Linked DNA regions of Oryctolagus cuniculus. Each later gene encodes a partner of the first gene's protein in a complex. Links are inferred from orthologs where the notes say so. Each region holds a gene or a part of one and is shown in the gene's direction. Other genes may lie near its edges.

The links.
Region 2: TXNL4A (region 1) and PRPF8 share a complex: the UniProt entries of both Homo sapiens proteins name them as parts of the U4/U6-U5 tri-snRNP complex. The link is inferred for Oryctolagus cuniculus from reciprocal best matches to the Homo sapiens genes TXNL4A and PRPF8.
Region 3: TXNL4A (region 1) and PPIH share a complex: the UniProt entries of both Homo sapiens proteins name them as parts of the U4/U6-U5 tri-snRNP complex. The link is inferred for Oryctolagus cuniculus from reciprocal best matches to the Homo sapiens genes TXNL4A and PPIH.
Region 4: TXNL4A (region 1) and SNRPD2 share a complex: the UniProt entries of both Homo sapiens proteins name them as parts of the U4/U6-U5 tri-snRNP complex. The link is inferred for Oryctolagus cuniculus from reciprocal best matches to the Homo sapiens genes TXNL4A and SNRPD2.
Region 5: TXNL4A (region 1) and SNRPF share a complex: the UniProt entries of both Homo sapiens proteins name them as parts of the U4/U6-U5 tri-snRNP complex. The link is inferred for Oryctolagus cuniculus from reciprocal best matches to the Homo sapiens genes TXNL4A and SNRPF.
Region 6: TXNL4A (region 1) and PRPF6 share a complex: the UniProt entries of both Homo sapiens proteins name them as parts of the U4/U6-U5 tri-snRNP complex. The link is inferred for Oryctolagus cuniculus from reciprocal best matches to the Homo sapiens genes TXNL4A and PRPF6.
Region 7: TXNL4A (region 1) and SNRPD3 share a complex: the UniProt entries of both Homo sapiens proteins name them as parts of the U4/U6-U5 tri-snRNP complex. The link is inferred for Oryctolagus cuniculus from reciprocal best matches to the Homo sapiens genes TXNL4A and SNRPD3.

Annotation. Positions count from the first base shown.
Region 1 is NC_091441.1:294,906-298,121, forward strand, and holds part of TXNL4A (thioredoxin-like protein 4A), read left to right. Parts: intron 1-1,866; coding exon 1,867-1,970; intron 1,971-3,216. UniProt on the Homo sapiens protein: Plays a role in pre-mRNA splicing as component of the U5 snRNP and U4/U6-U5 tri-snRNP complexes that are involved in spliceosome assembly, and as component of the precatalytic spliceosome (spliceosome B complex).
Region 2 is NC_091448.1:47,180,267-47,183,766, reverse strand, and holds part of PRPF8 (pre-mRNA-processing-splicing factor 8), read left to right. Parts: intron 1-284; coding exon 285-398; intron 399-476; coding exon 477-650; intron 651-933; coding exon 934-1,127; intron 1,128-3,500. UniProt on the Homo sapiens protein: Plays a role in pre-mRNA splicing as core component of precatalytic, catalytic and postcatalytic spliceosomal complexes, both of the predominant U2-type spliceosome and the minor U12-type spliceosome.
Region 3 is NC_091438.1:130,423,808-130,427,856, reverse strand, and holds the start of PPIH (peptidyl-prolyl cis-trans isomerase H), read left to right. Parts: upstream 1-1,249; 5' UTR 1,250-1,338; coding exon 1,339-1,404; intron 1,405-1,721; coding exon 1,722-1,786; intron 1,787-2,047; coding exon 2,048-2,071; intron 2,072-2,327; coding exon 2,328-2,372; intron 2,373-4,049. UniProt on the Homo sapiens protein: PPIase that catalyzes the cis-trans isomerization of proline imidic peptide bonds in oligopeptides and may therefore assist protein folding. Participates in pre-mRNA splicing.
Region 4 is NC_091449.1:11,275,666-11,279,627, forward strand, and holds the start of SNRPD2 (small nuclear ribonucleoprotein Sm D2), read left to right. Parts: upstream 1-1,162; 5' UTR 1,163-1,310; coding exon 1,311-1,312; exon of another isoform or gene 1,313-1,548; intron 1,549-2,519; coding exon 2,520-2,699; intron 2,700-3,962. Other genes in the region: QPCTL (glutaminyl-peptide cyclotransferase-like protein), read right to left, coding at 1-1, 384-578. UniProt on the Homo sapiens protein: Plays a role in pre-mRNA splicing as a core component of the spliceosomal U1, U2, U4 and U5 small nuclear ribonucleoproteins (snRNPs), the building blocks of the spliceosome.
Region 5 is NC_091442.1:98,728,125-98,731,948, forward strand, and holds the end of SNRPF (small nuclear ribonucleoprotein F), read left to right. Parts: intron 1-2,762; coding exon 2,763-2,827; intron 2,828-3,183; coding exon 3,184-3,250; 3' UTR 3,251-3,324; downstream 3,325-3,824. UniProt on the Homo sapiens protein: Plays a role in pre-mRNA splicing as a core component of the spliceosomal U1, U2, U4 and U5 small nuclear ribonucleoproteins (snRNPs), the building blocks of the spliceosome.
Region 6 is NC_091442.1:201,402-204,901, reverse strand, and holds part of PRPF6 (pre-mRNA-processing factor 6), read left to right. Parts: intron 1-317; coding exon of another isoform or gene 318-408; exon of another isoform or gene 409-487; intron 488-1,999; exon of another isoform or gene 2,000-2,157; coding exon of another isoform or gene 2,158-2,228; intron 2,229-3,076; coding exon 3,077-3,245; intron 3,246-3,500. Other genes in the region: SAMD10 (sterile alpha motif domain-containing protein 10), read right to left, coding at 318-408. UniProt on the Homo sapiens protein: Involved in pre-mRNA splicing as component of the U4/U6-U5 tri-snRNP complex, one of the building blocks of the spliceosome.
Region 7 is NC_091452.1:31,112,355-31,116,307, reverse strand, and holds the start of SNRPD3 (small nuclear ribonucleoprotein Sm D3), read left to right. Parts: upstream 1-1,153; 5' UTR 1,154-1,267; intron 1,268-3,005; 5' UTR 3,006-3,023; coding exon 3,024-3,149; intron 3,150-3,953. Other genes in the region: protein GUCD1, read right to left, coding at 828-1,038. UniProt on the Homo sapiens protein: Plays a role in pre-mRNA splicing as a core component of the spliceosomal U1, U2, U4 and U5 small nuclear ribonucleoproteins (snRNPs), the building blocks of the spliceosome.

The DNA of each region.
Region 1 (3,216 bases):
CCGCTTTAAGCCGGGAGGTTGGCGATGCTGAGAAGCAACTGACTGAAGGACCACGTTGACTCTGGGGGCCTCTGAGCTTTCAGTGGGGTGTTGGAGAACACATGGAGTCCAGATATTCCCAGGAGTAGAGAGGAGTGTGTAATGAGCCCTCTGTTCCTGTCCTCGGCTGCAGTGGTTATTAATACGTTGCCATTCTCATGTTGTCTAGCCCTGATTATGCTGCAGCATTTAAAGCAAATCCCAGTTACCACATTATCCCATCTGTAAGTTAGAGTTGGATGTTAGAGTGACTTTGGAAAGAAATGTGGGTGGGTGCCTGTCTCCCATGGCTGCCAGAAAACGTCACAGGCCGGGTCTGCTCACAGTGTGGAGACCTGACATCCAGAGTCAGGGGCAGGGGTGTGCTCCCAGGACCTGGGAGAGAGCCTCCTCCACGGGGTGGAACCCACCCTGTCCTCCTTGGCCCCACAGCTTGTGCGCAGCACTTGGTGATGGGGGCCCACCTGCTGTTCCTGGAGAAGTCACACGCTCGGCATTGAGGTTGGACCTTATATGTAGCAGTGTGGACACAGCCCTGCTCAACACACGGAAGTGGTGTAAGCTTTCCGGAGGGTGTTGGCAGTATTTGTTTGAGCCTTACAGATGTCATATTCCATGGTCCAGAGGTTCTCTTGGGAATTCATCCTTAGGAAATGATGGAGTGTGTAAACAGTATAAGGGTACAGTTCACAGGTAGCATTAGTGTTAATGGAACATTTGATTGAGTCATGAAAAATCAGAAACAAAGTAACAGGATAGTAACAACATGGCCACTGGTGAAATAAGATGTAGAAGCTTGTGTTTCTGGAAGATGGGTAATTTGTTAAGGGAATGATCACAATGAAAGCAGGATACGTAATCTTGTAGTCTGACAACTGTATGATCACATTTCATAGAAACAGTACACATAGAATCTTTAAATTTTCTAGTTGATTTAAAAAAAAAGATTTATTTATTTGAAAGAGAGAGATCTTCCATCCACTGGTCCACTCCCCAGTTTTCCACAACGGCCAGGGGCTGGACCAAGCCAAAGCCAGGAGCTTCTTCCAGGTCTCCCACGTGGGTGCAGGGTCCCAAGCACTTGGGCCATCTGCTGCTGCTTTCCCAGCCATTAGCAGGGAGCTGGATCAGGAGTGGAGCAGCCAGGACTCGAACTGATGCCCATTTGGGATGCCGGTGTTGCTGGTGGTGGCTTTACCAGCTACACCACAGCACTGTCCCATAGAATTTTTTTTAACATGCCCTGAAAGTGGGGGGAAATGTGGCAAAAGAATTAGAGAAAAGAGGTAGAAGAGAAATGTAACAGAGGAATTAGACCAGTTACCTGCGGGTATTGAGGCTGGAGGTGATTTTACTTTCTTTATATTTTTCTGTTTTCTCTAAATATATTCTCTGATGAACTTGCAGTTAAAGAAAAAAATCACGGAAAATGTGTACAGTATCACCTGGGGTCCTGTTGGTACTGGCAGATGTTCAGTCCGGGACGGCTGGAAGGTCGTGGACGGCTGAGGTCTGCACACGTGTGGTTTAAAGCAGTGGCTCAGCATGCAAGCCCAGTTGTGGCAGCTCAGTGGGCTTTCGGGATCTCCCGTGAGTGCCACACTGTGAAGGCACTGTGAGAGACGCCAGAGTGAATCGTCAGAAGCCAGCTCCTCACGGTGTTGTGTGGTTTCCTTGTGTGCTAGCTTACTGGGCAGGAAGTGCTGGAGAATTCATTTGAAAATTGTCCAGTTATGACACAGAGTCTTGTTTTTTTAATGTGCTTTAACATAATGAGAGCCAAATGGATCTGTAATTTTAGTTTTTCTTAATTTCTTTTTCTCGTAGGTTAAAAATTTTGCGGTTATTTATCTTGTGGACATCACAGAAGTGCCCGACTTCAACAAGATGTACGAGCTGTACGACCCGTGCACGGTCATGTTTTTCTTCAGGTATGTCTGACCTCACGCACGGGTGGTCTGAGCTTGGCCGTGATCAGCAGTCCTGCAGGAGCAAGCCAGTTATGTGGTCACGTGGCCAGGGGATCCCTGTGAGTCTTCAGTAATTGTCAAAGTACAGTTCCAGTTTCCGTGTTTACTCAGTAACAAGTTCCCCTCTTGAAGTAAAGTGGCCAGGAAGGCCAGCAGGGTGCCATTGAAATAGAGAAGTTACTCTCACTGCCGGCGTCACTCACCAGTTACCACGTCAGCACCTTTGTTTAGTGTCCTTATCAGTTGGCTTTGCTTAAAGCATGTTTTCTCCGCTCTGAGTTCTGTTGAGTTATTTGGAAACAGCTTGGCCAGCAGCAGTGAGAGCACCGGCCACACTCTGGGATGGGCGCCTCCCAAGGGGAGCAGAGCCGGGGTGTGTGCTCTGTGCCCGCAGGCCTGCTGGTGAGGCTTTGGGCAGGGTCAGCTGCAGGACTCGGTCGCACGAGGCAGAACCGCGGCTGGGCTGCTCTCCGCTGTGGCTCATCCGGCTCCTTGTGCTCGTGGGTCTGCGGTCGCTGTGCCCTGCTTGGCTGGGAAGGCGCTGGCCGGTCGAGTCACTCTCACAGTCTCAGTTGGACCTGAAGCCCTGCTCTGGGCACTGGAGTGGCTCAGGTGGTCCAGCGCAGTCTGTGTGTCACATCAGCTAAGACTGGGAGCCCGCCTGGCCTCTCCAGTGCTCACAGGCGTGGGGTCTCAGTGTGCGCCCACCAGGAGTGTGCTGCCTGCAGGCGCCTCTGCCGCAGCCTCACGTCCCTCGGGCCGGCTGAGGCTCTGCAGACACCACTGCACCTGTGCGGCCCTGAGAGACCGAGAGGGAAGGGAGTCCACTGCCCCACATCCTGGATGGGCCCAGGAAACAGAACTGGGAGGGAGGCGCCGATCCACGGCCCGGCAGACTGGTGCCTGTACCCAAGTTTCCCTGCCTCATGAGCCGTGTCTGCCTCTGGGTCCTTTGTTCCTGGTTCCTGCGGTAGCCCTCTCGGCCGTCCCCAGTGTTAGAGTCGGGATGCCCCACGAGCAGGGAGGGGTTCCTGGCTCACCCCTTTCGCTTGTGACTGGGGTCTGCCACCCTTGGTCTTGCCTGGTTTCAGCGTATTTGCCATCTGCAGAGTCTGAGGGTTTATTTTCCTTTTTAAAATATTTATGTATTTGTTGGAAAGGCAGATGATAAAAGAGGAGAGATCTTTCATCCACTGGTTTATTCTCC
Region 2 (3,500 bases), on another chromosome or scaffold:
TAAGACTCATTTCTTTGTACAGCTTTTTATGACTCTAGTAGCCTTAACTTCTTTCATTCCTGAACTGTGTCATATTGCTTAGCATGATCATATACTGGTTTTGAGTAGTATCTTGTATAGCTTGAAAACCCCCTTTGGACAAGGCCTTTTGACAGTTTATCTTCTAAGAGCTTAGCATTCAACATTAACGTCCAGACATACTTGATTTCAAGAGTAGGGCTTTCTGTTCTAGTTGATCGGGAGGCTGCAGACTCAATTTCCACTGCCTTTCTCTTGGTTTTCAGTTGGCTAAGTGGAAGACTGCTGAGGAAGTGGCTGCCCTGATCCGATCTCTGCCTGTGGAGGAGCAGCCCAAGCAGATCATTGTCACCAGGAAAGGCATGCTGGACCCGTTGGAGGTAAAAGGGTGGACAGGGTAGACAAAGGCAGGCCTGAGGCTGAAGATCGTTTCTGATCTTGTCTTGATCTGGTCGTAGGTGCACTTGCTGGACTTCCCCAATATTGTGATCAAAGGATCAGAGCTGCAGCTCCCCTTCCAGGCTTGTCTCAAGGTGGAGAAGTTTGGGGATCTCATCCTTAAAGCCACTGAGCCGCAGATGGTTCTCTTCAACCTCTATGATGACTGGCTCAAGACTATCTCATCTTACACGGTAGGAAGACGGCCACGTTGCGAGTGGGTTTGTGGTCAGGAAAGTATTCTCTGCCTGATAGTTTCCTCACAGGCCGCTGATTTGGGCCATTCTCATAGTTTCAGTCTGTGGATGGAGCAGGAACTCTGCTGCCTTACGAGGGCTTGGAACTTTAGAGTTTGAAGTCAGTTCTTGGGTTTCCTGCAAGCACAGGATGGAGACATTGAGAAAAGGGGAGAACCTCAGTTAGCGGACCTCCGCCGTCCCCGCCCACTCGCAAACACTCTTCTGAATTTCTTCCCAGGCTTTCTCCCGTCTCATCCTGATTCTGCGTGCTCTGCATGTGAACAATGACCGGGCGAAGGTGATCCTGAAGCCAGATAAGACTACAATTACAGAGCCGCACCACATCTGGCCCACTCTGACTGATGAGGAGTGGATCAAGGTGGAGGTGCAGCTCAAGGATCTCATCCTGGCTGACTACGGCAAGAAGAACAAGTGAGCCATTGTGATGGGGAGGCCAATGGGTGTCCACAAAGCTGAAGTGGGGGGCTCAGTATTGGGGTTCTGTGGCTTTGGAACACTTGGCTCATAAGTTTCTCAAGAAATTGTCTTAGAGATACTCACAGAGGAGAAGCAAGCAGTGTCTTCAAATAGTACAGGAAGTCTGCATGTCTCAGGGCTTCGCTCTGATTGTGGCTGTTGTGTTGTGTTTTTGGAGTAACTGGATCTTTTATGATTTCAATTCAGTTATGGAATTAGCAAATTCATAATGTTTATCAGAGAAAAAATTTCCTTTGGGACATCAGAAAGAAGCACATAGGCAATGACAATTCAAGTCACCTTTACAGGCCATAACAAAAATGAGAGCAAATGTTGATGATGAGTTGATCCTAGCAACATTTTTACTATTTCAAAGACTACCCAGAAAAGCTTTGCACTCAAACACCACATCATGTAAACCAGGTATTCATGCCGCTTTTGAATTCTTTTTAACAGTGTATAACCACATGGTTTTTGCTTTTTTTTTTTTTTTTTTTTTTTTTTTGATGATTGCAATTTTTTTTTGAAAGTCCAAGTTACAGAAAGAGAGGCACACACACACACTCACACACACACACATACACATATCATCCACTTGCTGGTTAACTCCCCACCCAAATACCCTCAACAGCCTGGGCTGGGCCAGGCTGAAGCCAGAAGCTCAATCAGGTCTCCCCCATGGATAGCAGGGACCAACTACTTGAGTAATCACCCTGGTCTCCCAGAGTGCACATTAGCAGGAACCAGAATTGCAAGTGGAGCATGGACTCAAACTCAGGCATTTCAGTATGGAATGCACACCTCCCAGGCAGCACCTTAACTGTGGCACCAGATGCCTGCCCCAACCCCTTTCTTTTTCACAATATACTAAATCTCCGCTTATTCACTTCCCAGCAGTATAATTTGTGGCTCAAAGAGTAATAAATACATTTTTTGGTTCTTGCTACAAATTGCATGTGCCGTGCTAAAAAAAATGGATTGGGGCTAGTGGTGTGATATAGTGGGTAAAGCTGCTGTCTGTAGCACTGGCCTCCCATATGTGCTGGTTCAAGTCCTGGCTGCTCTGCTTCCACTCCAGCTCTCTGCTCTCTGGGAAAGCAGTGGAAGATGGCCCAAGTCCTCGGGCCCCTGCACCTGCATGGGGGACCTGGAAGGAACTCCTGGCTCCTGGCTTCAGATCAGCCCAGCTATGGCTGTTGTGGCCATTTGGGGAGTGAACTAGTGGATGGAAGATCTCTCTCTCTCTTCTCTGTCTCTCTGTGACTTTGCTTTTCAAATAAATCTTTTAAAAAATATATGGATCACTTTATAGTATATTCATGACTCCTTTCTGACTGGTATTGGAAAGAAAAGAAATTATCTGATGTAGCAGTCAGTTAACTTTTTTTTTTAAGATTTATTTATTTATTTCAAAGTCCAAGTTACACAGAGAGAGAAGGAGAGGCAGAGAGAAAGGTCTTCCATTCATTGGTTCACTCCCCAGATGGCTACAAAGACCAGAAGTGGGCCGATCCAAAGCCAGGAGCTTCTTGCGGGTCTCCCATGCAGGTGCAGGGGCCCAAGGACTTGGGCCATCTAATATTGCTTTCCCAGGCCATAGCAGGGAGCTGGGACTCAAACTGGCGCCCATATGGGATGCCAGCACTGCAGGCAGTAGCTTTACCGGCCCCTGGTGTTCCTTCTTAATAGTTTCCATAGGATTGAAAGATGTGGTATATTAACTCCCCTGTTGTGAAGCAGAAACTGGTATGTTTTGTAGAACAGAGACTAGACGAACTGGAATAATTAGAATTAAGAAACAATTTTTCTCAGGGTTTATCTAATGTTCTTATTTACAATTCCACTTTCCAGCCTTGGAATCTTTTGGATTATAAGTGTAATCTCCCTCTTTTACATATGGGAAACTGAGTAAAGAGGAGTGACAATCCCAGCACAAGTCAGAATTAAAGATGGGAGAATAATTAAGTTCTGTAACTTTGCTTCCGACCCTAAGTCATCCTGTTGGCCATTGTTTCTCAGTGGAGGAAATCCTGCCATTCTGAGGAGGGCTCATCTTTATTGTAATAAACTACAGGAGATTCTAACTTCCAGACCTTGAGTACCATCACTGATAGCACATACCTGTCCCACCTCTCCTTGTCATTGTGACGTATCAAAAATGTCTGTAGATCTCCAGTGTTCCCGAGGGTGACTGGTATTACCACCTCTGGGGAAGAACCAGTGTTTCAGGGGTGCTGAGGAAAAGTGGGGTTCTGGGTGCTGAGTGCTGAAAGGTACACTTGCAGGGCGCAGTTCTACTTGGGATGTGACATAGAAGGAGGAGTGCAT
Region 3 (4,049 bases), on another chromosome or scaffold:
CTGGGCAATTTTCCACTGAACTGTGAACTAAAATCAACTACTTTTGGAGCCAGCCTGCAGTACCAGCATCCCATACGGGTACTAGTTTGAGTCTCAGCTGCCCCACTTCCAATCCAGCTCTCTGCTATGGCCTGGGAAAGCAGCAGACGATGGCCCAAGTCCCTGGGTCCCTGCACCCATGTGGGAGACCCAGAGGCAGCTCCTGGTCCCTGGCTTCAGATCAGCTCAGCTCCGGCCATTGCAGCTGGGACTCGAACCGGCGTCCATATGGGATGCCGGCACTCCAGGCAGTGGCTTTACTCACTATGCCACAGCATTGGCCCCTATCCTCGGCTCCTCAGATCACAGAATTACAAAGGATGATCAAAAGTACCAGTTGCACACTCTGACCCCGAACCTTGCCCAGTCCACCTTTCACTCAGTGAACTGAATCTATTGAATACCGCTAAGAGCTCAGCAATAGCAGGCACTGCAGTTACAGCGGTGAACCAAACAGGCAGAGTCCACTTCCCTGGAGGTTCCGGGCCTTCAGGGAGCCGGATGTCCCTGTGGAGACAGGTGCTGCAAGGCAATTTTGGCTGGGGGAGTGGTGTAAAGAAAACAGGTGATCCGAGTGCAGGAAGGCTGTCTTAGGTTGGGTGCAGTGTTGTCTCTGAGGGGGAGCCGTCAGGCTGCGCCCTGCACCTTGTACAAGGAACATCCCCTGACCTCCACTGAGATCTGGAAGAAGAGGGGCCAGCTCGTACCAGGGGGCATCCCAGAGGCCCCAAGAACACAGGCCCGCGCCCGGCAACAGTGCGAGGGGTAGCAGGGGAGGCCAGGCGGGTGGCGGCAAGTTCCAGCTGCTCTGGGGGAAGTGGGCTGGAAGCCACAGAATTCCGATGTCCCGACGTGAAGGAAGAAGGGGTAAGCATTCACCGAGGGAGTCTGCGTCAGGCTGCTCCAAGCGCCCGCTGAGCGCGAGCAAACCAGAGCGCCTGCCTTGGGTCTCACCTGGGCAGCGGCAAGACCCTGCCCGCGCGGTGGGCGCTTCAGGTGTCTTAGCTGTAAGCTGATGGAATCTGCAGACTGCCCTAGAATTTGGACCGTATTAGTACAGATACGCGAGCGGGGTCCCGTTGACCTTGAGGGAAAAGACGCCGAGGCTTTACCCGCGGTACAGCCTCCACGCCACCGCCACGGAGCCGCCCCGAGCCACCGCACGCGCCCCGGAAGCCGGTCGGCTTCTACTGCGCCTGCGCCGCGGCCTCCTCTCCCTCCCGCCCCGCCTCCACGAGGGGGCTGGGTCTTAGTCGGCCGGAACTCCCCGCTCCCGACGTTTGCTTCCGGGTCGGAGCCATGGCGGTGGCAAATTCAAGCCCTGTCAACCCCGTAGTGTTCTTTGATGTCAGTATTGGCGGCCAGGTGAGATCCAGGCGGCCACTCCGACTCACGCGGGAGGGAATGGGGATAGAGGGGCAGAACCCACCAACCCAGGGACGCCAGAGAGTGAAACCAGCCAGACCCAGCGACCCGCTGCCAGGGGCCTGGTAGCAGGAGGCGTGGGAATGGCGCGCATCCTGGCTCCCTGCTTCTGGAGGGGCTGGGGGGACCCACGGCTAGGCCAGGGATGCGGAGGCGGGAGAAAGCGGACGGGTCAGCCTCCGGGGCTCCCAGCTTCCTGAGCCCTTCATAGACTTGGACTGAGCCTTGTGACCGTCTCCGTCTCCCTCCGGTTACAGGAAGTTGGTCGCATGAAGATCGAGCTCTTTGCAGATGTTGTGCCCAAGACGGCCGAGAACTTTAGGTAAGGAGATGCTCCAGCTCCGCCAGGTGAGCCGAGCCAGCCGCCGGACCCCAGGCGGCCTGCAGAGTCGCCTGGTGCGGGCTCGGCCCGAACGGTCACCATGGTGACTGTTCGCGTGTCAGTTCGTGTCCGCAGTCTGCAGGCCTGCGTCTGTGCACGCGTGGGGGCAGGTTGACGGGCTTGCTGGCTCCGGCCCTCCGAGGTCCGAGGCGCGCACGACTGTAATGCCACAGTGACTGAGTCTTCACTCTTTCCTTTCAGGCAGTTCTGCACTGGAGAATTCAGGTCAGTCTCGGGCGTGCTTCACTTCTCCGCCTGCTCCTATGGGTGTCTTAGGGCCGCACTGACTGTATTGGGGAACCACCAGCAGGCCGCCAGTGATTGCAGGCGGTGCTGATAAAAGGTGGCACCCCAGGGGTCTGTCCTTCGCAGGTGCTGTTCTCCCAGCGGTCTCTAGGAGAGCCCCTCTGCTCCAGTGCAGGAGCTGCAGAGGCCTTTGATTACCTGTCGTCATTCCAAGTCTCTTTCTTTTTGCTTATAGAAAAGATGGGGTTCCCATTGGATACAAAGGAAGCACCTTCCACAGGTAAGGCCGTTGGCAAGCATCCTGGGGGCTGGGACGCCTCTCAGCATCCGCAGGGGATTGGTTCCAGGATCCCCCTCAGGTACCTAAATCCAAGGATGCCTGGTCCCTTGCATAAAATACATAGTACTCGTATATATGGATTTCCCAAGTTTTTGCACCAAAATAAGTTTATCTTTTAATTCCATTTTCCATCAACTTTTTATTTAAAGTGCCCCTGTTTTGCATATAACCCACACAATCCTCCCATATATATTTTTAAGATTTATTTATTTATTTGAAAGAGAGAGAGAGGCAGAGAGAGAGAGACATCTTCCATCTGCTGGCTCACTCCCCAGTTGACTGCAACAGCCAGAGCTGTCCCGATCTGAAGCCAGAAGCCAGGAGCTATTTCCAGGTCTCCCATGCAGGTGCAGGGGCTCGAGGACTTGGGCCATCCTCCATTGCTTTCCCAGGCCATAGCAGAGAGTTGGATTGGAAGTGGAGCAGCCAGGACTAGAACCAGCACCCATATGCGATGCCAGCACTGCAGGTGGCGAGTTTACCTGCTATGCAACAGCGCCGCCTCCCCCCTTACGATTTATTTATTTATTTGAGAGTTGGAGTTACAGACAGAGGGAGAGGCAGAGAGATATCTTCCATCCACTGGTTCACTCCCCAAATGGCTGCAATGGCCAGAGCTGGAACAGTCAGGAGCCTCTTCCAGGTCTCCCACGTGGGTGCAAGGGCCCAAGCACTTTGGGCCATCTTCTGCTGCTTTCCCAGGCCACTAGCAGAGAATGGGATAAAAAGCAGAGCAGCCGGGACTCGAATCAGCATCCATATGGGATGCCAGCATTGCAAGCTGCAGCTTTACCCACTACACCACAGCACCAGCTCCTTTGCATATACCTAATAAAATGTAATACTATATTGTTCAGGAAATAATGGTGAGAAAAATAACTCAATACATGTTCAGTTCAGATACAGTTTTTTCTCCCAAATATTTTTTATCTCAGGTTGCTTGAATTCCTTGGTTGTGGAATCTATGGATATGGAAGGCTGAGTGTACTTTGTTACGGGGTTAGGATTTTTATTTTTTATTTAGTATTTGAGAGACATGAGAAACAGGGAGTTAGCTCCCGTCTGCTACTTCACTCCCCAAATTCCCACAATAGCCAAAACTGGACCAGGCTGAAGTTGGAAGCCAGGAACTCAGTCCAGCCCTCCCATGTGGGTGGCAGGGACCCAGTGACTTGAGCCATCACCTGCTGCCTGCCAGGGTGCGCGTTATCAGGAAGCTGGAATTGGGAGTGAGCCAGGCATTCCGACGTGGGATGGGGATGTCCCCAGCAGCATTTTAACCACAAGACCAAACATCCGCCCTCCTGATGAGGAGCTTTGAAGAGAACTAAATCAGAGGCTAATTCTTAGCCCTTGAGAAGACATGTTTCTGTGGACTCAGCAACCTGAAGATCTAAATGTTCTAGCTACACTTACAGTCCTCCACTGATTCATTTTATGTATTAAACCAGAAACTGCATCGTTCCACTGTTCTATCAATTTCATGCCTTTATTTGTGTGACCACAGATTTTAAAGATTTATATATTCATTTAAAAAGCAGAGTTAGAGAGAGGGAGAGAGAGATCTTACATCCACTGTTTATTGCCCAGGCGAGGGCTAGGCCAGTTCAAAGCCAG
Region 4 (3,962 bases), on another chromosome or scaffold:
TCTAAAGAAGAGAAGAATGAGCGCACTGCTCCCTCCCCCCAAAAGCCCGGGTGCCTCCGCGGCATGGGAGACTTCCAGGATCAAAGTCTCTCCAAGCCCACCCGGTTTAGCCTACCCCTCGATCGTGACATGGAAACCGAAGCCCAGCGAGGGGAAGGGAGGCTTCCAAGAGTTGCCTTTCGGGCGTGGAACCCAAAACCCTCATCCTGACGACTCCGGAGCCTTTCTTTCCAGGGGGCGCGTTGGGAGGGGGCTTGCGCTCCGGGGAGGCAGCCGGTGGCACCTGCGGCCAGGGCCCCAGGTAGCGCCACGTCAAACCGAAACTCGGAAAGAGGAAGCGGGGAGAGAGGGCCCTCCAGTGCCCGCGCCGCGCCCAGCCTCACCCGCGGCAGCTCCTCGGTCCTGCGGTGCCAGCTGCCCCACAGCGTGTAGAGGGCCGAGCCCACGGCCAGCGCCAGCAGCAGCACGGGCAGCAGCTGCGCCCGCGGGAGCAGGCGGCGCTTGAGCGGCGAGCTCGGCTCCATCAGGCCGCGCTCCCCGAGCCGGGGCCGGGGCCGCCCGCGGCCCCCGGGACGCATGGCAGCTTTGCCCTGAAACCGGCCAGGGACCGCGGATGGAGTTCAGGCCCAGCCAAGTCCCACCCCATGGAATCACAAAGCCAATGAGCGACAAGAGCGCCGGGCACCACCCCGGCCCGGCGAGCCGGGTGCAGCTCCCGAGGACAAGCCTCCCCGGAGGCCCGGGGTGTCGCGATTGGCTCCCAGAGGGGTTGCACAACCCCCAGAGGGGACGCGAAGGCGTGCGGCCCGCCCCGGCGGAGCGGGTAAAGCCAATGGGCAGCGCCCGGCCGCGGAAAGGGATTGGTTCCGCGGGACGGGAAGATCCAGCGAGGCGTCAGGCCCCGAAGCCGGGACCGGATTGGCTTCGTGGAGGCCGCGCCCCCGGAGACGGGGCTGGCGGGCATTTAGAAACCTCTGGCCGTTTCCCTCCTGCAGCCTGTCCCGCCTCTACCACGAAGCGGCGCGACTCGGACTCTCTGTCTTGGTCTCTCCATCCCGATGAACACCTGCCCGCTGTGGTCCTTAAAGGCCTCGAACTGCCGCTCGCGGCTTCGGCCCCCTCGCTGCGCAGCCGGCGGGGGTCGCTATGGCAACAAGCCACGCCCCAGCCCGCCGGGTGGGTTTGCGCAGGCGCCCACGGAAGTGGCCCGCCGGAAGCGGAAGTCCCGCCCCTCTCGCGCTCCATCCGCAGAGGCAGAAGCAACGCGGAGGAGGTTGGAGTGAGAGTGACCCGAACGCGGGGCCGGCACCATGTGAGGCCGGGCTGGGCTTAAGCGGCGGGCGTGAGGTTGTGGGTGCGAATGCGGCCGATTAGCGGCGGAAGGGGGCGGCAGCGCCGGGGGCGGAGCAGAGCTCTCGGGCGAATTTTCTGTAATGAGCGTGGGACCGGCCCCCGGGGCCTCTGGCGGACCCTGAGTCCGCGAGGGCCGCCAGCTCTGTGAGAGAACGGGCAGCGGCTCCTCCGCGTCATCAGCTCGCTGGAGTGAAGGTTAAGAAGCGGCTTCTCGAGTTACAGAAGCCGGGGAGCGGGCGCGGGCTTTTAGGCATAGCGATTGGGGGCGAGGGGCTTGGAACGTGAGCTGGGGCCGGGGGCCGTGGCTGCTCGGCCTGATTCGCAACGACGCCGCGGCTGGGGCTGCAGGCTCAGCCGGGGGCCCTGGGAGGGTTCCGAAGAGGCTGCCGTGAGTTAGGCTTGCGCACGGCCCCCAGGCTGCCCCTGGGTGCAGGTAGCCCTGGCACGGAGGTCGGATTCTGCAGCCGGCCGGGGGGAGGGGTACGGCCGGCAGACGCATTGATTCGGCCCTGCCGAGCGGGACTACGGCAGGCTGGTTTTTAAGCCGGCGCCCGAGTGCTGTTCTGAACACCGAGGCTGGCCAGCCCCGAGTGGCCGGGCAGGCCTTTCTCCTGTGACTGTTGCCCGGGCTCCACGGGGTCGCAGCACAGTCAGGTCCCGTTACGCTGTAACCTGGAGATGACTTAGCGAGCGGGAGGTGTGCGCAGGGTGTGTGTGTGTGCGTCCCCGCCATCCCACCTAAGGGATCCGAGCCGCTGAGGCTTCCGGGACCCGGGCAACGCGGATCCTGGGACCAGCCCCCTGTGGATGCCGAGGGACAAGCGTCCGATTGTGGGGCAGTGGGCGTCAGACGCCAGGGGGAGGAAGGTGGGGGCGCCGTAGAGCAAGTCCTGACAGTGGCTGCTGTCCGAGTTGCCGTGGGAGACGAAAGAGGAGTGGACGTCCGCTTCTGCCCGGCCAATGAGAAGGGCGGACTTACCCCCCAGGGAGTGGTGTGCCCTGGGTGCAGCAGGCTGGGGAGGGGGCCTAGCGGGAGCTGAGCCGGGGCGGGCGGGGTTGGGGATGGCTGGTGGCTTCCAGGTGCTGATGCCTAGAGACCAGGCCGGCAGGGCTGGGGGGCGGCCCCGGCTCCTCCCCTCACCCGCGGGTCCCTCCTCCCCCGTCAGGAGCCTCCTCAACAAGCCCAAGAGCGAGATGACCCCCGAGGAGCTGCAGAAGCGGGAGGAGGAGGAGTTCAACACGGGCCCGCTCTCCGTGCTCACGCAGTCGGTCAAGAACAACACGCAGGTGCTCATCAACTGCCGCAACAACAAGAAGCTGCTGGGCCGCGTGAAGGCCTTCGACAGGTGCGCGGCCGGGGGCGGGGCCTGGCCCGGGAGGGAGGGGCCTGCGGGCGGGGCTCCTCCGAGGCCGCGCCTCCCGCCCTGCCCTGCGGTGGGCGCCAGCCGGCCCCTGCTGTGCTGTCCCTCTGAGCGGCCAGGCGACCCTCAGCGCGTGCCGTTATCTTGTCCGCACAGTGGCAGGCAGTCGTCGCGGTGGATACAGAGATGCGGTGACTTAACACGCATGAAGTGCCTGGCCACAGGACACCTTTTGGTTCATTCATTGAAAGAGAAGCGGAGAGACGGAGAGAGCTCCCACCTGCTGGGCACTCCCCGGATGTCCACAGTGGGGCCAGAGCCGGGGGTAGCACGCAGGCAGGCTTTTAATATTTTATTTATTTTGAGAGGTAGAGTTATGGATAGAGACACAGAGAGGTCTTCCATCCGCTGGTTCACTGAGCTGAGCTGACCAGGAGCCAGGAGCTTCTCCTGGTCTACCACGTGGATGCAGGGGCCCAAGCACTTGGGCCATCTTTTGCTTTCCCAGGCCACAGCAGAGAGCTGGATCGAAGAGGAGCAGCCGGGCCTCGAACCGGCACCCTTGTGGGATGCTGGCGCTGCAGGCCAGGGCGTCAGCCCACCAACCACAGCGCCGCCCCCGTGTGTTCTGTGGTGTCTCACTCACGCACTCACCGTGCCCCTGGCCGTCCTTTGTGGTGCCCACAGCCTTGCAGAGGTGCCCCTGGCAGGGCTCGGTCCTGCAGGAGAACCTTCCAGGCGCTCTCCTGCCGCCCGGTTCTGCTGGTCCTGGCCTGAGAACACTGCGGCCAGCGGGCTGTTGCCTGCCCCCTCAGCCCCTCCCACCCGCGACTGAATGCGCAGTGTGTGCAGGTGGGGCGGGTTCATTCAAACAGGCACCTGATGACGGGCGATCTCCTTCCTGCGCCCTCCCTCCAGGGACCGCCCCCCTGGTGGTCACAGATCCGCAGGAGTGTGGTGTGACTGAAACATCACATGTGTTGGAAGATGGGGGCTTCTTAGCCTTTTTTTTTTTTTTTTTTTTTTTTTTGACAGGCAGAGTGGACAGTGAGAGAGAGAGACAGAGAGAAAGGTCTTCCTTTTGCCGTTGGTTCACCCTCCAATGGCCGCCGCGGTCGGCGCGCTGCTGATCCGATGCCAGGAGCCAGGTGCTTTTCCTGATCTCCCATGGGGTGCAGGGCCCAAGCACCTGGGCCATCCTCCACTGCACTCCCTGGCCACAGCAGAGAGCTGGCCTGGAAGAGGGGC
Region 5 (3,824 bases), on another chromosome or scaffold:
GTTTCTTGTCATTTCCTAAACAAGACATTATAGCATTTTTACATAGCATTTACATTGTAGTAGGGAACATAAGTAATCTAGGCATGATTTAACGTATATGAGAGCATGTGCATAGTTCATATGTAGGTACTGTGCTCTTTTACAGAGAGGGACTTAAGCACCCTCAGATTTTGGTATCCTTGGTCACAGGGAGCAGAGAGGGTGTTCGGAAACCAATCTCCCAGATTCCAAGGGATGATTGTATCTTTTTGTGTTTGGCTTGTTTCACTTAGCACAGTGTACTCAGGGGTCACCCATGTCGTACAGCCATGTGTCAGATTTCATGCCTTTTATGACTGAGAAAGACTCCATTGTATGGATGTGCCACACTAACCCATTCACCTCCTGTGGACACTTAGATTGCGTCTTCCTTTTGGCTACTGTAAATGATGTTACTATGAACATGGGTGTATATTCGAGTCCCTGCTGTCAGAAGTGGGATTGCTGGGTCATATGGCAGTTCTGTGTTTGAGGACCTGCCACACTGTTTTCTATATAGCAGCTTTGGTTTTGCATTTCCCCCAGCAAGTATAAAGGTTCCAGTGGGGTCGAATTAGTATCTCATTGTGGATTTGATTTGGATTTCTTTATTTATTTTTATTTTTGACAGGCAGAGTGGACAGTGAGAGAGACAGAAAAGTCTTCCTTTGCCATTGGTTCACCCTCCAATGGCCACCGCGGCCGGCGCGCTGCGGCCGGCGCACCGCGCTGATCCGATGGCAGGAGCCAGGTACTTATCCTGGTCTCCCATGGGGTGCAGGGCCCAAGCACTTGGGCCATCCTCCATTGCACTCCCTGGCCATAGCAGAGAGCTGGCCTGGAAGAGGGGCAACCGGGACAGAATCCGGTGCCCCGACCGGGACTAGAATCTGGTGTGTCGGCGCCGCAAGGCAGAGGATTAGCCTATTGAGCCATGGCACCGGCGATTTGGATTTCTGTTAATGATGTTGAGGGCCATTTCATTTGCTTATTGGCCATTTATGGGTTTTGCCCATTTTTAAATTTTTTTTAGTTGGAATTCTTTCCAGATTTTTAAAGGTTACCTAGACAGGTGGTCAATCCAACCATGAATTGAAGGATTCCATACACAGAAAACTAACAGGAGTACTTTGGTAGGCAGAGAGCTAAGATTGTGTTTAAACATCTGCCACCATAGTAGGTAACTCTAAGCATGGTTTTGGTCAGGAAAATTCCTGAAACAGGAATCATTTACCAAGCCTATAGGGAAATCTGAAAAGGTATAACCATTTTGATGAAAAATGTTCTGGAATATGTAATAGTAGTTGTACAACTTTATACCAAAACTACTGAATTACAAACTTCAAAAAAATAGTGGATTTTATAGTATGGGTGTTACATATTTGAAAATAACACCCACTTAATATTTGGTTTTATTGTTAAAGACTTATTCATTTGAAAGTTGGAGTTATACAGATAGAGAGAGGTCTTCGATCTGCTGGTTCACTCCCCAGTTGGCCGCAATGGCCAGAGCCATTCCAGTCCGAAGCCAGGAGCTTCTTCTGGGTCTCCCTTGTGGGTGCAGGGGCCCAAGGGCTTCTACTGCTTTCCCAGGCCACAGCAGAGAGCTGGATCGGAAGTGGAACAGCCAGGGCTTGAACTGGCACCCATATGGGATGCCAGCACTGCAGGCGGTGGCTTTACCTGCTATGTTACAGTGCTGGCCCCAATATTTGGTTTTAGAATTAACAGCTTCCTAGTGAAACTACTAGAGTTACAGAATATATCTGACCAACCACATTGATAGCAGCTTTTGAGTCTGCTGAGTGAGTAGATATATTCATGGAGTACCCGTTGTGTACATGACACTGTAAATACAGCAGGGGACAAAATGTAGTCCTTGCCTTCATGAGTGTGTTTAGTGTTCATTTCTTTTATGAGTCCTGGATGGCACTGGTTTTTTAGAATTACAAGTTTATTACCTATATGTATAAGGAAAACTAAACATTTTGATGTAAAATGAGAAATAACTTATTTATCTTAACTATTTATTTAAAAGGCAGAGTTAGAGAGGTGGAGCCTGGAACTCCATCTGGGTTTCCCATGTGGGTGCAGGGGCCCAAGTACTTGAGCTGTCTTTTGCTGTTCTCCCAGGCACGTTATCAGGGAGCTGAATCAGCCAGGACATGAACCAGCACCCATGTGGTATGCCAGCATTGTAGGCAGCAGCTTAACCAACTGCAACACAACAGTGGCCCCAGTGCCTACATTTTTACAAAAAAACCTTAGTTCTTTGGTTGTTGACTGGTAGATTTTAGCCATAGCTTTTGTACACCTGTTTAGATACTTCTATATGATTTACATATTATTACTATGAGAAAATTTAATGTTTGGGATTTGAGAACTGAATTTTCAGAAAATGTTTTAGTCACAACTTACGAGAATAAATTGGAGACTTCGTTCCCTGAAACACTGTTTGATATCTAACGAAAGAAATACTGCACAAACTGGGAAGTTTAACTTATTTGAAACAAGTTTTAATATATATTCTATATGCATGAACATTAATATTACTAAATGTTTATATAAACATGAAACAAGTACTTACAATAGTAATAGAAAGCTAATTTTCTCACTATTAATTACAGATAAATTTGAGTTGTTGGTATAGAAAGGTCTCAGTTAACAAGGTCTCACCAGTTGTAGGTGTGCTTTATAATTTCCTCCTGTACAATTGATACTAATGGATTTCTTTTTACTTCAAGCTTGCAAATACAGAAGAATACATAGATGGGGCATTGTCTGGACATCTGGGTGAAGTGTTAATAAGGTAAACAGCGCCAGTGTGTGTGAGAAGTTAGTGGTGAGCAGTATGTTTAGTGCCTCAACCTGGAAATTACTGGTTTTTTAAAAATTGTCAATTTATCATAATACTGTACAATTAGATTTCAAGATCTTTGAAATTGTTAAACTTGTCAAAGATAAAATATTTTGGGGCTATTCTTCCTCAAGATAGTTCTAATGTTGATAAGTCTTGTGACTCTGTGTTGTAACCTTTATTGTTAAAGATGTTTGTTAGACCCAAGTTCCAGTAATTTTTCCCTTCAGAAAATATCATTTTTAACAAACACATAAAAAATGTGTCATGTGCTTTTTAACAAAATGGGCCTTTTTTTCTGTTTACAGGTGTAATAATGTCCTTTATATCAGGGGTGTTGAAGAAGAGGAAGAAGATGGTGAAATGAGAGAGTAGCATCTTTGGTGGGGTTTTCTTTTTTTATATATATATTTCTAGACAATAAAGATGTGTTTGTTTTTTCAACTTGACTTGTGAGCTATTTATATGTAGGTACTTAAACAAATGCAAAGCTCCCCTGTTGAACCAATCAGAACCAATGCTTGAAAAACCATCCTGCTTGATTCAGCGTGGTTTTCTTTTGTTAACCCCAGTACTTTTTTTTCCTGTAGATGCCTAGAAATTTTTTAAAGATGAATTTCAGCCCTTATATATTAACTGAGACCTTTTAAAGGCAACTGTTTTTTATATTCTTGAGCTACTTTTAATATGTATACAAGTTAAGCATTTTCTTAGTATTAATATATACTATTTTTACTTAGTAGTCAATAAATTCTATGTTCTCTATTAATATATGCTAACTAATGTACATGCTGTAGCTAAAATCAGAACATCTGATAATTAAAATAATTGTGGAGATAGGGCACAACAGAAATTGTGCCCTGACAGGCTGCAAACATATGTTTTGTTGACTTAAGATAATAAAGTATTTAGGACAGAATTTACTGTGAAAGAAAACCAGTCTCACGGT
Region 6 (3,500 bases), on another chromosome or scaffold:
GTTCCCAGGATCTCCGGGCGCTCGGCGCCGCGCCCCGGGAACCGCATCTGCCCGGAGCCGGCGGGGCCCGCCCATTTCCTGCCGGCACCCGGCGCGGGTTGATCCCTCCCCGCCTCAACGTCCCGTTCCAGGAGGGAGGGGCAGGGGAGCGGGGCTGCAGCCTGGGTACCTCCCGAAAGGTGACCCCGGTGCGGGACAGGCGCGGCCGGGCTCAGCCCACCCCACGCCGCGGAGGCCGGCCGCCCCCAGCGCAGCACAGAGGCCGTGGGGACACGCTCAGGCCAGGGGGCCCCCGCCCGCGCCCGCGTCCCGCTCACCGTCCACATCCCGGCGCTCCCCGAAGCCCGCGCGCACAGCCGCGGCGCGGCCTCGCGGGGGGCTTCGGTTGGCCCTCAGCTCGGCGAACATGGGGCCCGCGGCGCCGCCCGCGCACGCCCCTGGCCGCGCAGGCGGCCGGTGTGGCCGGCGGGGAGCGCGCGCCGCCCCGCCCCGCCCCGCCCGGCCGCCCCGCCGAGCCGGTTCGGCCCGCGAGTCTGCGCGGCGAGGCACCTGCCGCCGGCCCGAGCGCAGCGCGCTCCAGGCGCTCCGAGGTGGGGCGGCGCGCGCGGGGCCGCGTGTGCCTGGCGTGTGTGTTCTCGGGGCGCGAGTCGCCGCGCACCTGCCGGGGTCGCCCTCTCCGGGGGCTTTGACCGACCGGGGCCAGGCAGGGGGCCCCGGCCCCCTCGTCCCCGCTGATATAATCGGGTTTCTTAGGCCTCTCCCTCAGATGGGCACCTGCTTCCCAGAGAAGCCCGCGCGACCCTCCCCTGCCATCCCCCACTCCTGCTGGCCTGGAGGCAGCTCCCCTCGCCCTGCAGTCCCAGCGCGAGCCGTGGGGGAGCTGCGCTGGCAGGTGCAGGCTCGAGAACGCACAAGGGGCGAGAGAGGCTCGAGGAGGCCGAGGCCGTGGGGCAGCGGGGGCGCCTGCTCCAGGGTCCTGGCTGGAGGTGCTGGGGACCGGCACAGGGGTCTTTGGCCTGAGCTGTGAGGAAAACGAGGCTTGCGAGTGGCTGAGCTTTCTGCCTTGCCTGGGCCCTGTGGGGGCTGCAGAATCGCAGGTGCAGCACCCGGTCCTCCACCGGCCTGCGTGTCCTGGGAGGCAGTGGGGACCTCGAGTCACGGGGTCCCTGCCCCCGGGAGTGAGGCCTGCGTGGAGCTCCGGGCTGGCCCAGTGGGCAGGGGCGGCCTGATTCCAGCCCTGGCTACTCCCGCTTCCGATCCAGCTCCCTGCCAGTGCACTTGGGAGGCCGCAGAGGATGGCGCAAGTGCGGGGCCTCTGGCATCCACAAGGGAGACCCGGTGGAGCTCCCAGCTCCCGGCTTCAGCCCAGCGCAGCCCTGGTCCTCGTGGCCATTTGGGGCGCGCCTGGCAGCTCTGTCACTCCGCCTTTCAGAAAAACAAAGGAGTGCGTGCCCAGTGACAGGCCCCCCGCACGGCACCCGCGTCCGCCGCGCTCATTTCTGTCCTGAGATGATTGACGGAGGGCACAGGGCGAGAGATCTCCCACCCACCGATTCGCCCCCCAAACCGCTACCAGGGCTAGGTCCAGGCGAGGGCCAGCTCAGGCATCGTCGCCCGCCTTCCCCGGAGCCGTGGCAGGCAGCCGGGAGAGCAGTAGAGCCCCTGGGCCCGCAAGCGGCGCCCTGCGTGGGACCTGGGCGGCGGGACCAGTCAGCCCCCCGCGACACAACGCGGGACCCATCGGTCTTCGGCCACTGGCTCTCAGGAGCTGCGGACGCGGCGGCTCCAGCCCTCCCAGGAACGGCCAGGGTGCCGCCGGGGCGTGCGGGGTTGCAGTCCGCCGGCGCCCAGGTCCACACGCGCGCGGCTCGGCCCGCACGGGGAGGTTCCGGGAGCGCCACCGAGCGCGCGGGAGGGCGCGGCCCCGCCGCTCCACCAGGGGGCGCTCCGGCTCCCTTGCCCGGCGGGCCGGAAGTGGGCGGTACCCGCTCCGCAGCTTCCGCCCGGGAGCCCGGGGTGGGCGGAGCCTCGGGCGGACTGCGCGCTCTGCTTCCGGGGCGCGGGTGACGCGACGCCTGCGACCCTTCGCGACGACAGCGCTGTGGCGGGCTCGTCTCGGAGGCTCAGGCTGCGGCTTCGCGTCTTCTCCTCACCGCCATGAACAAGAAGAAGAAGCCGTTCCTGGGCATGCCCGCCCCGCTCGGCTACGTGCCGGGGCTGGGCCGGGGGTGAGGCCTGCGGCCGGGCCGGGGGCGGAGAGGCCGGGGCTGGACTGGGACTGGGCGAGAGGAGGGCTTCGGCCGGCGGGGACGAACGGGGAGCGGGTCCCCGTGGGGCTGGTGCCTGCGCCTGAAGGGAGGTGACCGCCGTGAACGGCCGCCCACTCCTGTGTTGTTGGTGCTTGGGGAGGGCGTGGGGACGTGCGGGGTGGGAGGAGCAGGGCGGAGCCGCGGGACCCCCGGGACCCTGGGACGCTCCGGGGGCCGGGGAGATGCGGCAGGGCAGGGGGCGGGCTGGGGCGTGCGGGCGGTGCCGCAGGGGGGACGCGGGAGCCTCGCGTGCCAGGGCTGGGGAGCTGGGGACACTGGAGCGTGCGCTGGGCGCGGGCCGGCCTCAGGAGACGGCTTGGGGTCGGCCTGGGAAAGGCAGTGGAAGAAGTGTGTGGGCCCCCGCCAGCCGGGTGGGAGACCCGGAGGAGGCCCCCGGCCGCTGCAGCCGTCTGGGGAGTGAGCCAGCGGATGGAAGCTGTCTCCGTCTTCCTCGCTCTCTGTAACTCTGCCTTTCAAGTAAATAAATAAAAGAAGGGCTGCCCTGCTCAGAGCCGCGTCGGCAGGAGTTGCAGGCGGTTACCGGCGGTGGTGGGTGTCGCGGCCTGGGGAGGAGCGGTGCCTGCCCTGGTGCTGGGTTCACAGCCTGGGCAGCTGCCGGTTGCACCCAGAGAGGGGCCTGGCTGGGCCAGGCTGGGTCTGTGGGCCTGCGTGGCTGTGGAGCGGAGAAGCCTGGGTGGAGACCTGGGCGCTGGGGGCTTCCAGGGGCAGGTGCAGGAGCCGGCTGACGGCGCCTTGGTCTGCCGCAGGGCTACCGGCTTCACCACCCGGTCGGACATCGGACCTGCCCGGGACGCCAACGACCCCGTGGACGATCGCCATGCACCCCCCGGCAAGAGGACCGTTGGGGACCAGATGAAGAAGAACCAGGCTGCCGACGATGACGACGAGGACCTGAACGACACCAACTACGACGAGGTGCGTGTGCGGCCGGGCGGTCTGCGGGTCCCCAGCCGCCCACAGACGTCTTCGGTGTGGCGTGGGGAGGGAAGCGCCTTTGGAAGGCGCATCCTCGCCCAGGGTCTTCGCGCCCTGTCGCTTTGGCGCGGTGCCTCGCAGCAGGGCAGTCTGACAGGTGACGCCTGTCCCCTGAGGAGACTCGAGGAGAATTAGTTTTGTTATTGGCGAGGGAAGTGGGCGGTGGCTGGTTGCCTGTGACAGTTGTCCCACTTA
Region 7 (3,953 bases), on another chromosome or scaffold:
CACCTGGCCATGATTTCGCTACAGCTCCACAGCCTGGGCAGAGACGGCCAGGGACGCGCGCGGATGGACCCTGCTCCGCGCTAGGGCGGGGTCCCCCTCATTCCCCGGGGCTGAGGGCTGGGCCCTCAGAGAGAGGCACTGACCCGGCTCGAGCGGCGGCCCCGCTGCCTCCGCCTCCGTCCTCATGACCCGCGCAGCACGGGGCGCCCATGGCCCCGGCCCGCTGCGGGCTGCAGCTTCGGCTTCAGCTGGCGCAGGAGCGCAGCCAATGCGTGTCGAACGCCGTAGCCGCCGCCGCCACCGCCACAGCGGGGAGAAGCGGAGGCGGCGGCCGGGCAGCCCCAAGCCCCGCCCCAGCCACTCCAGGTCTTGGATCCGGAGGCCCCGCCCCTCCCCTAATCCCCGCCCCTTCCCAGTCCCAGACTTCGATTCCTAGAGGCTTCCAGCCTCATGATTTAAGCCCGGCCTGGCCATTCACAGTCTCGGTTTCTGGTAGCTCCGCCCCCTTACCGAATCCTCGCGCAGACGCGCGGGCCCTTCCTTCGCTCGGTCCCCCGGAAGCTCCGCCCCTTCTGAGCCCCTCCCCGAGGGCTCGGCGCAGCGCAAACACTGGCTCCCCAGGGGCTCTTTCCCTCAGCAAGCCCCGCCTCTGCCAGGCCCCACCCCTTTGCCGGCTTCAGCTGTAAGCCGGCTCCGGCCCTGTGATTGCCTAGGGTCCAGGCAACCGTACTCTGATCTCTTTAGTGCTGAGCCGGCCCCTGCTCCACTTGGTACCTCAGTTTCTCTGTCCAGACACGACACCTCCCCTCTCTGAGAGTTCCCGTTACCTGGCAGTGCCGGGTTCCAAAGATTAAATTGTGAGGGGAGGTCCCAGCCCTCATTCCCACTTCCTGCTGCCCCGGATCCGAGGACCCAGGCTGTAGATCCCCTCCTTGTCGTCCAGCCAGTCTTTTGTGAGGGGTGCTTGGAAGCGCAAGCCCCCCTCTCCCGTTTCGGGCCCCCGCGTCGGGGCTTCCGGCGGCCCCCGGGCCCTGTCATCAGCCCTCTCTTCCGGCGCCGGAACTATCGTACCTGGGTCCGCGTTTCCCAGCCGGCGGAGTAAGGAGGAAGCGGAGACGAGCTCGCGCTCTGGGACGGTCCCCGCGCGCGGCATTCTGGGAGCGCGTGGTATTCTGGGAGTGCAAGGCCCGCCATTCGCCCCGCTCACGCCTTCTCTCTCGCAGTTGTTGTCGCAGCACCGAAGAGGAGGAAGAAGGGGCTCGAGCCGGTGAGTAGGGGCCGGGGACGGGAAAGGGGAGGCCTAGGCGCTCGTGAGGGATCGGGGGCTGGGGCAGGACGCGCTGCAAGGAACCGCGCAGGGCTCCGGGAGGGAAGGAAGCGGGAAGCCGGGACACCCAGACACCCGCGTCGCCTCGCCTGAGCCTGGGGAGTGAGTTCGTTACCTCCCCCTCGTTTCTGGCTGCTTAGCCTCGTCCCTGAACTCCATCGGCGTCATCCTTGGCCTCCAGCCCCCTTTTCCGGCGCTGATGCAGCCCCTCGTGCTTTCCACGCCATTGCAAAAGCGTTTTCCGAAGTTCCTCTGCTTCTGAACTGTGTGTTCGATTTGGCCTGTAAACGCTGATACCTTTCCATTGGGTCGTTCCTTCCTTGAGATCCCGCGCTGGTTCCGTGCTCTCTGAAACGTAACATTCCAGCTCTGGCGGCGGAGGGCTGGGGATCCTCACGGAGCGAGCCTGGCTGCCCTGTCGTGTTCTCCCTTATTTCGTGCCAGCCTTGCGTCCTTACCTGGCTCAATAAAAACTCCACTGCTTGTCTCTCAACTACGTCGGCAGATCCTTGTGTTTTTCCTCCAAGATAAGCAGTTTCCTACACGTTGTCCCTTTGTGACCGCTTTGCTGTTTTCTCTTTAGCTTTAACAGTAAAGCGAATGGAAAGTCAGAGGCTGAAATAAAAACACAGCCTCCTCTCCTGGATATGTCTGGGTCCTCTGGTTGGTTGGTTTGTTTGTAAGATTCATTTATCTGAAAGGCAGAGTTACACAGTCGGGGTCGGGGGCAGGCAGAGAGAGAGATCTTCCATCCCCTGGTTCACTCCCTCAAATGACTGCAACGGCTGGAGCTGGGGGCCAGGCCAGAGTCAGGATCTTCTCCCCGGTCTCCCACAGGTTCAGGGGCCCAAGCATTTGGCCCATCCTCTCCTGCTTTCCCAGGCTATCAGCAGAGATCTGGAGTGGCAGTAGACAGCCGGGACTTGAACCAGTGCCCCTGTGGGATGCCGGTGTACCCGCTGCACCCCATCGTGGTTTTCAGGATGCAGTCACCCACAGCTGTGGATAGGCAGATGTGTTGCTCAGCATGGACGTTCCGAGCGCCTCTCTCCCAACACACAGACCACATTGGTCACTGGTTATCTTGGCCAAGGAAAAGGGACATGAGGGGCCAGTGTTGTGGGGCAGCTGGTTAAGCTGCCACCTGTGACGCTGGCACCCACGTGAGAGTGCCAGGCTGATTCTCAGCTGCTCCATTTCCTATCCAACTCCCTGCCAGTGCTCCTGGGAGGCAGCAGATAATGGCCTGAGGTTTGAGCCCCTTGCCACCCACATAGGGAGACCCAGATGCAGTTCCAGGCTTTGCAGCCATTTGGGGAGTGGCCCAGCGGATGGAAGATCTCTCTCTCTCTCTCTCTGTATCTGTATCTGTGTCCCTTACTCTGTCTCTAGGTAAAGGGACATGGGAGCAGGTGAGGAGTAGGGAGGTAGGTGGGAGATTCTTTTCCTTTCCGTGAGCTTTCCTTCTGTCCAGCACGCTGTCTCTCCCCTCTTCATATTGTGTGTATTTGCCAGGAAGGCTCCTCCAAGCCAGGAGCTGAGCTGCTCTTGTGTAGAAAATGCAGCTTTGGCACCGGTGTTAGGTTTTATGGGGTCCAGGCCTTGGGGAGACATGGTGCGCACCACACGCGGCCTCTGGCTCTGAAGGCTGGGCTCACTGCTGTGTCTCCCACCACAGCACTCTCCTCCTGCCGAGATGTCCATCGGTGTGCCGATCAAAGTCCTGCACGAGGCCGAGGGCCACATCGTGACCTGCGAGACCAACACCGGCGAGGTGTATCGGGGCAAGCTCATCGAGGCAGAAGACAACATGAACTGCCAGGTACGGGAGGCTGGCGGCGTCTCCATTGTGCCCGACGTGTGGCAGGCGCTGCCGCGGGCTCCGGGACTGTGGGCCTGAGCAAGAGACAGTACTGGGGCAAAGAACCGTATGGAGATTTGGAATAGTTAACTTTGGCCTTTGCCTTCTCCATCCCATAATTGTCCCCTCCCAACTCCCCATTTTAAAGATTTATTATTTATTTGAAAGGCAGAGAAAGAGAGGGAGAGATCTTCCATCTACTGGTTCACTCCCCCAAATGGCCACAGTGGTTGGATCTGGGCTGATCTGAAACTGGGAGCCGGGAGCTTCTCCCAGGACTCCCACGTACAGGGACCCAAGCACTTGGGCCATCTTCTACTGCTTTCCCAGGTGCATTAGCAGGCTCAGAAGTGAAGTAGCTGGGACTTGAACCGGTGCCCGTATGGGATTCCAGTGTTGCAGGCAGTGGCTTCCCCTGCTACACCACAGTGCCAGCCTCTCCCATGTTTTGGGGCCTGTTTGAGAGAAATGGTGTTACCACCTTCAGCAGAATTCTTCAGGTTCAGGGCCATTACCCTCCCACCCCCACCACCCCACACAGTGAGCAGAAACCTGTGTGCTCTTTTTCTTAGAAGAGGGGTCATGTTTGATTACTGCAGCTGCCTAGTGAGGTAAATGAGTTTGGTGATAGTCTCGGCATCCAGGAAAGAGGGAGAATGTGGTTAAAGGACTCATCTACTGAATATTGCTCTGCTAATAAATGATAGAGCAACTTTCTAACGTGGTGTCTTTCTCAAAGCACTGCTTTTTACATAGTCAGGTAAA